Linked DNA regions of Rattus norvegicus. The protein of the gene in region 1 binds, or shares a complex with, the protein of each later gene. Links are inferred from orthologs where the notes say so. Each region holds a gene or a part of one and is shown on either strand. Other genes may lie near its edges.

What was found.
Region 2: the proteins of Hcn2 (region 1) and Pex5l are in contact, whole or in part, in a crystal structure (PDB 4EQF), measured with the Mus musculus proteins. The link is inferred for Rattus norvegicus from reciprocal best matches to the Homo sapiens genes HCN2 and PEX5L. Residues at the interface, in NP_032252.1 of Mus musculus: Leu859, Ser860, Ser861, Asn862, Leu863; in NP_001156988.1 of Mus musculus: Glu315, Glu317, Val343, Asn347, His426, Asn453, Arg454, Ala457, Thr458, Ala460, Asn461, Tyr472, Arg484, Tyr487, Asn488, Ile491, Ile494, Ile537.

The regions. Positions count from the first base shown.
Region 1 is NC_086025.1:10,622,428-10,626,240, reverse strand, and holds part of Hcn2 (potassium/sodium hyperpolarization-activated cyclic nucleotide-gated channel 2), read left to right. Parts: intron 1-273; coding exon 274-420; intron 421-3,300; coding exon 3,301-3,541; intron 3,542-3,681; coding exon 3,682-3,813. UniProt on the Homo sapiens protein: Hyperpolarization-activated ion channel that is permeable to sodium and potassium ions. Displays lower selectivity for K(+) over Na(+) ions. Contributes to the native pacemaker currents in heart (If) and in neurons (Ih).
Region 2 is NC_086020.1:117,833,746-117,837,637, forward strand, and holds the start of Pex5l (PEX5-related protein), read right to left. Parts: upstream 2,941-3,892; 5' UTR 2,558-2,940; coding exon 2,537-2,557; intron 1-2,536. UniProt on the Homo sapiens protein: Accessory subunit of hyperpolarization-activated cyclic nucleotide-gated (HCN) channels, regulating their cell-surface expression and cyclic nucleotide dependence.

The DNA.
Region 1 (3,813 bases):
CTGCAGTGCTGGCCTAGCGTCCATGAAGACCTGGGTTCCACTCCAGCATCAGAAGCCTTTTGCAGTGGTACACGTCAATTATCCCAGCACCTAGAGGCAGAGGCAGGATGGGAAGTGTAAGGTTATCCTTGGCTACTTTAAAGCCGGCCTGGACTACGTGAAACCCTGTGTCAGGGGCCAGGCTGTGTAAAGCAGTGTGTCCCTGGGCTGGGTGGCATCGGGCTGGACCTGTCTGACCATCACTGACCACTGATCCACTTTTTCTCCCTTCAGTACAAGCAAGTGGAGCAGTACATGTCCTTCCACAAACTGCCGGCTGACTTCCGCCAGAAGATCCACGATTACTATGAACACCGGTACCAGGGGAAGATGTTTGACGAGGACAGCATCCTGGGGGAACTCAACGGCCCACTGCGTGAGGTGAGGTGCCCACGGACAGCCACAGGACCTGGGGAGTCTCAGGCACATCCCAGCGTGCTGCACATGCAACCGTGCCCAGGGTCTGTGGACAAACTGATGGGGCACGTGTGGGACCCAGGGTCAGGTCTGGGCGTGTCTATTCCTGGCCGTGTCTCCCGCACCTCCCTGGCCATCACCTGCTCCCCTGTGAGCCTCAGACACAAAGCTATGGTCATGAAAGACACATCTGTGCAGCCACGCTCCCTCCGAGATCGTGGGGGAGGGTCCTTCCTGTGTCTCCAGCCCCTTTCTTATTGCACATGTGTGGGTGCCTTGCTTGCATGTGTGTCTATGCACCAGGCATGAACATGGTGACTGTAGAGGCCAGAAGAGAATATTGGATCCCTGAAGCTGTGAATCCCCGTGTGGGTGCTAGGAATCGAACTGTCTCTCTAGCCCCGCTTTATTTGACACACGTGTGTGTGTGTGTGTGTGTGTGTGTGTGTGTGTGTGTGCGTGTGTGTGTGTGTGTGTGCACGTGTCTGTGTCTCCACAAGTGTGTGCAGGTGCTCACAGAGACCAGAAAGACAGTGTCTGCTCCATTAGAGCTGGACTTACATACACTGTGTGCCACCAGATATTGGACCCAAACCCTGTCTTAATGATTGAACAGCAAACACTGCTAACCCCTAAGCAGCCAATCCAGCCCTGTCTTTAAATGCACACATGTGGGGTTGGGGATTTAGCTCAGTGGTAGAGCGCTTACCTAGGAAGCGCAAGGCCCTGAGTTCGGTCCCTAGCTCCAAAAAAAAGAACCCCCCCCCAAAAAAAATGCACACATGCGTGTGTCCAAGTGCACATGTGCACTGAGCTGGAAGATAACCTTGAGTTTTGCCCTTGAGAGGGCACTGTTCACCTTCTTTTAAGATTTATTTATTATTTATTTATTATATATGAGTACACTGTTGCTGTCTTCAGACTCACCAGAGGAGGGCATCAGAGGGCATCGGATCTCATTACAGACGGTTGTGAGCCACCATGTGGTTGCTGGGAATTGAACTCAGGACCTCTGGAAGAGCAGTCAGTGCTCTTAACCGCTGAGCCATCTCTCCAGCCCACTGTCCACCTTCTTTTAGACAGAGTCTCTCTGTCCTGGAGCTCAGCCATTCAGCGAGGGATCATGCCCCAGGGATCATCTGTGCATTCCAAGGCCTGGGACACCAAGCATACACTGGCGCCCTTGGCTTTTTAACATGTCTTGAGGATGCTTGCAGGGCTCACAAAATGCCCACTAAGGCTGGGCTTCATCTGTATAACCCTTCATTTCCAAATACAGTCCCATCCACAGGTTCTGGGGCTCTGTCAGCCGGGGAGGTGTGGCCAGCAATTGGGGGACAATGGTGTGGTGCTCAGGGCTGAGTGTAGAACACTGAAGGGAAGGCCTGATGTCTAGGGCCCAGGCAGAGGGCAGAGTCAGGGCAAAAGCCCCCGGGGTAGAATTACAGGAGGAGGCTGCCAGGGCTGGGAGGCCAGGCACCTGTGCAGAGCCATGGGGGACTCAGGGCTTGGGGCCCAGGGCTGTGTGTGGACATCCCAGTTGGTAGCCTTTGGTTAATGGTCTTGGAGAAAGTCAACAGAATTAAACAGACTGTTAATCTCACTTGTCCTTTTGTAGATAATGTAGCTCACAGGCCTTAGCTGCATGAAGTACACAGGTTTGTAGAAGAGACATACATCTCCAATTCTATAACTTTATCACCAGCCCCAAGGAAACATTTCTTTTTATTTTTTTTTGGTTCTTTTTTTTTTTTTCGGAGCTGGGGACCGAACCCAGGGCCTTGCGCTTCCTAGGTAAGCGCTCTACCACTGAGCTAAATCCCCAGCCCCAACATTTCTTTTTAAAACATCTTTTTTTCATTTTACATCGAGTGATTTGCCTGAATGTCTGTCTCTGCCCCAGTACCAGCATGCAGTACCAGCAGCAGCCAGAAGAGGGCATTGGACTCCCTGGGATTGGCGTTACAGATTCATCAGCCATGTGGCTGCTAAGAATTGAAACTAGGTCCTCTAGTTTCAAGAGTAGCCATCTCTCCCGCCGTTCTTTTCCATTTTTGAGACGTTTCATTCTACAGCACAGGGTGATTCGTGGCAGTTCTCCTGCTTCAGCCTCCCAAGTGCAGTGGCTACCCAGCCCGGCTTGCATGATCACACTTTGTGTGTCCCTCTGACTCCCTTCTCCTTGGGAGGGTCGAGGAGGCTGGCCTCATTGTCCATGGGTTTCTTGTTGGGTTTTGCATATGCTTTTGGCAGTGACCTTGACTAGATTCAGCCGTTTAAAAACACAAGCATGGTGCACCCTGGCTGGGAACTGCATTGGGTAAATGAGGCAGAAAGAAAGGACACCCCATCTAAGAGGCCAGAGGTAGCATGTGGAGTGGAATTCTTTCTCTTTGGAGGTGAAGCTCATGTAGCTCAGGATGTCCTAGAATGTCACTAGATAGGTGGCGAGGGTGACCTTGAGGGTGATCCTCCTGCCTCCGCCTCCAGAGGACTGTGATGACAGGCTTGTATGACCTGGTTTATGCCATGCTGGGGATGGAACTCAGGGCATGCCAAGAAAGAGCTCTACGCACTGAGCTCTGGTCCTGCCATTAAGCCTGTGGGGTATTTTCTGTGGTCCTGTTCGCTATAACGGCTTTCTCCATTCCAGTGTCACTCACCCTATGGCGGTATAGGGACTCGGGACTTTTTCCCGTATGCCTTAAGCTCATTTCCCAGTCCTGCCTCCAGCGTCTGCCTAGGAAGTTAGATAGGGGCTGAGGGGCCACCAAGTAGCCCAGGGGAGAGTGAGGGTCTGAGGTACCAAGCCAGTGACTTCGCCACCCTCCCTTCCACCCACAGGAGATTGTGAACTTCAACTGCCGGAAGCTGGTGGCTTCCATGCCGTTGTTTGCCAACGCAGACCCCAACTTCGTCACCGCCATGCTGACAAAGCTCAAATTTGAGGTCTTCCAGCCTGGAGACTACATCATCCGAGAGGGGACCATCGGGAAGAAGATGTACTTCATCCAGCACGGGGTGGTGAGCGTGCTCACCAAGGGCAACAAGGAGATGAAGCTGTCAGATGGCTCCTATTTTGGGGGTGAGCCCCCTACGGCAAGGCTGAGATCTGGATGGGGTGGGACTGTGGACAGCTCAGACCCGGGGAGGTTTGACCCAGCGTCGGGTGAGCTTTGAGCGTGGGCTGGGCAGGCTGCTGAGGCACCATCCTTGTTTTTACAGAGATCTGCCTGCTCACGAGGGGCCGGCGCACAGCCAGTGTGCGGGCTGACACCTACTGTCGCCTCTACTCACTGAGCGTGGACAACTTCAACGAGGTGCTGGAGGAGTACCCCATGATGCGGCGTGCCTTTG
Region 2 (3,892 bases), on another chromosome or scaffold:
CTGTGAAACCAAGAATATGTTCCTGCCTGCAGTCTGTCTGTCTGAAGGAGATGTCACCTTTCATCTTGCAATGAAGGATCAGAATGAACTGAATGACTGTTGTTAAAAGCCTGCGAGTGGAGGTTCTACCACAAGTAGAGCCTTTAGCCTTCTGTGTCAGACTCATGAAGCCACTCGCAGAAGCAGGAAGTTACAGACAGGAAGGCTCTGCAGGAGTTTTAACTGGACTATTTTTAAGGCTCCATGTGAACAGCCCTCATCCACTCCAGATTGTTATTTACAAAGCACTTTGTTTTTTAAAATATCTCGATCACAGAAAGTACAAGATTTAGAAGGCATAGGACATGATTCAAAGGGTTTCTGTTTTATACCTGCCTTAATACAGACAAATAGAATCAGCCTTTCCAACGAGCCCAACCCTGGAAGCAGCCTCAGTCCATACGCAGGCTCCTGGTCTGTGCTCTGAAGGTTGTGTTGGGATTTTAACTGAAAATATTTGACACTGTTTGGACTGTGTTTGTTCATGTGTGTGACTAGAGTCAGGTACACACAGGATGGAGCTAAACCTGGGAAGAAGCCATTCTTTAAACACAGCAACACTAGGGAGGGTCCGTCTACAGACTAAATGACAGTCTTGGGGGAAGAAAGTGGGTGTTTAAGAATGTAACCAAAGAGATGTATCATGAATCAGGTTGTCAGAGGTGATTTGGGGACAAACGAATTCCCATTCAGACAGTGCGGTGTCTGAACTTTTATGTTCAACATAATGGTCAAGTGTGAGGGGAAAGGCAGGGTGCTCTGGAATTTTGGCAAGAATGCTGATCATGGCTTTTGTTTTGTAACATTTTCAAGTTAAGCTTGGCAAAAAGGGACATGTGAGCTTCGCTGCAAGCCCTGGTGTGCTGTTACAGGAGCACACGTCACAGTGGGAACAAATGGACAGTCTTATAGTCACATTTTGTCTCGTCTTCCAAAGTGAAATCAAGTCTTCAAAAATTGTTCTAGACCATTTAAATTTCAATAGCACCCATTCTTAAAATATTCTGAAAATTGAGTTAAATTTGTTTTGGAGGGTGTGTCAATTCACCAGATTGTTTCTTCAATTTTGCATTCCCAGGAACATATTTTGGAAAAAAAAACCCCACAAAATCTCCCAAACAAAAACGTCATGGAAAGTTCTTAATAAATTGTATTAGGTAATCAACTATGAATTCTGTGTATATGAGAAAGTTTCTGAGAGCTGAGTCTGTTTATTCAAATGTTTCTCTTTTATCTTTGTGAAGAGACTATTTAATAATGACATGTAAAGAATGAAAGTTTAAATATCATTCTTGTGTGAAAACAAAGCATACAATTAAATCAGTCCTTTGCTAATTTTTTTCCCCCAGTAGTGGGAGAGTTCCTTTGACTTTAAACTTTCAAGACAGGCAGATTGTATTTGCTACATATTTTTAAATTATACTAATCATTATCCGTCAAATGTGACATAATCCCATTAATGACTTTCAAAACAGGATGATGTCAGTGACAGGGCAATGCTATTGGAATTCTACTCGGCTGATTCTGAATTCTTAGCAAACTTAGGATACAATCAGTAATATGCTTTAGATGAGCTACAATTAGTGCTGGGCTTTAGATAACAGTCTGTGATAGTTCAAAGGAATTTCCCCAAGACCTGGAAATTAAATATTAAGTCATGCACACAGCAGCGTATTTGTTCTGTCTCAAGGAGTCTAAAAGATACTGGAGCAGCATCTTTGGCACTCACACAGACACACCGGATGGCTGCTAGGTGTGGGGGACACCGCCTATGAGGACTGCTAGCTGAGAGAAGCCCCAGGGAGAAACATGTCAAGGGATTGGGAAGGAGCTCCGCTCACACTTCAGAACGCTGAGTTAGTATTTGGGTTATCTCTCCACCACTCCGCTGCATAATTTTATCATGAGGAAGACTCAACCTCGTGCATGAAAACTAAAGTCAAGGTTAAAGTAATCTTCTAGCTGAGTACAGCGCTGGCATCTGAAGAAGCCCCTCCTGAGAACCTGCTCCGCTGTGACTACTGGGACAGGTGACAATGTCCCGTCACCTGACGGGGGAAATACATCATGGAACATTTAAGAAAGAATGCTTTAAGGAACACCGCGGCAGCGGCTAAGTGCTGGGACTGTGGAGCGCCCTGGGCAGGCGGGAGAGGCGGCAAGTCTGGCTGATGTTTGCCCTTCAGCTGACATACGTGAGAGGTGCAGCGGCAGAATTGCTAGGAAACATGGTCACCTCCTCGGGGTTCCTCTGCGAAGATCCCAGAGCCGGCTTAAAGGCACAGGCTCAGGACTGCCCAGAAAGCAAACTTCCCCGCACAAGTTCCCGGTCTTTCCTCCGCATCCCACCCTGGGATACCGTGCAGTGTTACTGGGGGACGTAAACGCCTGGGTCATGGTGCCCCTGTCACTTGTTGAGTTGGGCGAGGGCATCTCTGGACCCAGGAACTTGGGGAGCACTGGCTGTTCAGTCGACCTGCTGAGGGAGGTCTCTTACCTGCATGTGTCCCTGGTACATTCTGCTCCAGCGTCGTCAGGGCTCCCGAGGCCGATGACTGCTTTCCCGAGCTGGCTCGTAGGGAGTTGCAGGTCGGGCAGCGGGCGCGGGCTCTCCGCCGGGCGCCCCGGCTGTGGGTTACAGAAGCAGGCGGGCGAGAGGGCGGCTGGGCGAGCGGCGCGCTGCGGAGCTGTCCTCCACGCGGGTGCTGAGCGCGCGCGGGCACGGGGACGCGGGGCCGGGCTCTCCGCGGGCGCAGTGCCGCTCGCCGCGCCTCTCCAACTCGCCGGTCCTGTGCCCCACTCTCCTCGCCTTTCACGAGGCTGCAGCGTCCCCTCCCGCCTCCGTCCGGACGCCAGCCCGCGCCAGCCGCCGCCGCAGCTGCCGAGCGCAGGGCGCGCGCCGCCCTCCGGGCCGCGTCGCCGCCGAGAGCCGCTGGCCCGGCGCGCGCGCTCTCGTGGAGCCGGGGGCGGGAGGGCGGCTCCAGCGAGCGCGCTCCCGGACGGTGCTCTGCTTGCTCTCCCTGGTGGCTCATAGAAGGAGGAGTAGATCCTGGGGGAGAGAGAGAGCTGCCCAGGCCTGGAACCACGGACTTTCCAATGCATTGTTGGCGACTCCGAGGCCCGGGACTGACCACCATCTGGAAGAAAAGTGGGAGAGAGAAGGTAGTCTTTCTCAGAGAGGTTACAGAGAGTGTGTCCTGCAGACAATAGGCCACGTCTAGGGGCTTGGAAGAGTTTGTAAGCTGATTGGGCTCCAAGGAGTTACCTATGCATTCCACTTCCAGTTACCTCTGATCATACTCCTTAAAAATCACACACTTCCCCCCCAGAATTAAAAGCACTCCGAATCCGGTGTAGTTGTTGTCTATCTCCCTTAACCTTACTTCCATGACATCAGGAATCTCTGTGCATTAGCATAGCCCAGCACAGCACAGCCCATCTGACAGGTGGTAGGTATCCAACAAATATTTGCTGAAGGAGTGTCCTGTTCCACAGATTGAAATACGTAGGCGGAGTGTTTAAATAGGTCCTGGGTTGAAAAGACTGCATAGTATGTTTGTCCTCCTGCATGTACACACTAGCAGCAAGGTAGGTGGTTACAGAGCCCCAACCTCTCAGTAACTTTTCTTAAAGCTAGAAGTATGAGAATGCAAACTCCCTAAGATTTGTGTTCCTAAGATTCTGTGATCAGGGAAACTTCACAGTGTTCAGAGTGTGGGCAAGAGTTGGGGGAAGGCAAGGGGTCTGTTCATAGGAAGGTCACTTCTCCGCCTTAACTTTCATATTGGCTGGTGAATCACGGGACACCCATTGGCATCTTAAAAATTAACATGTAAACAAATACAACCGAACA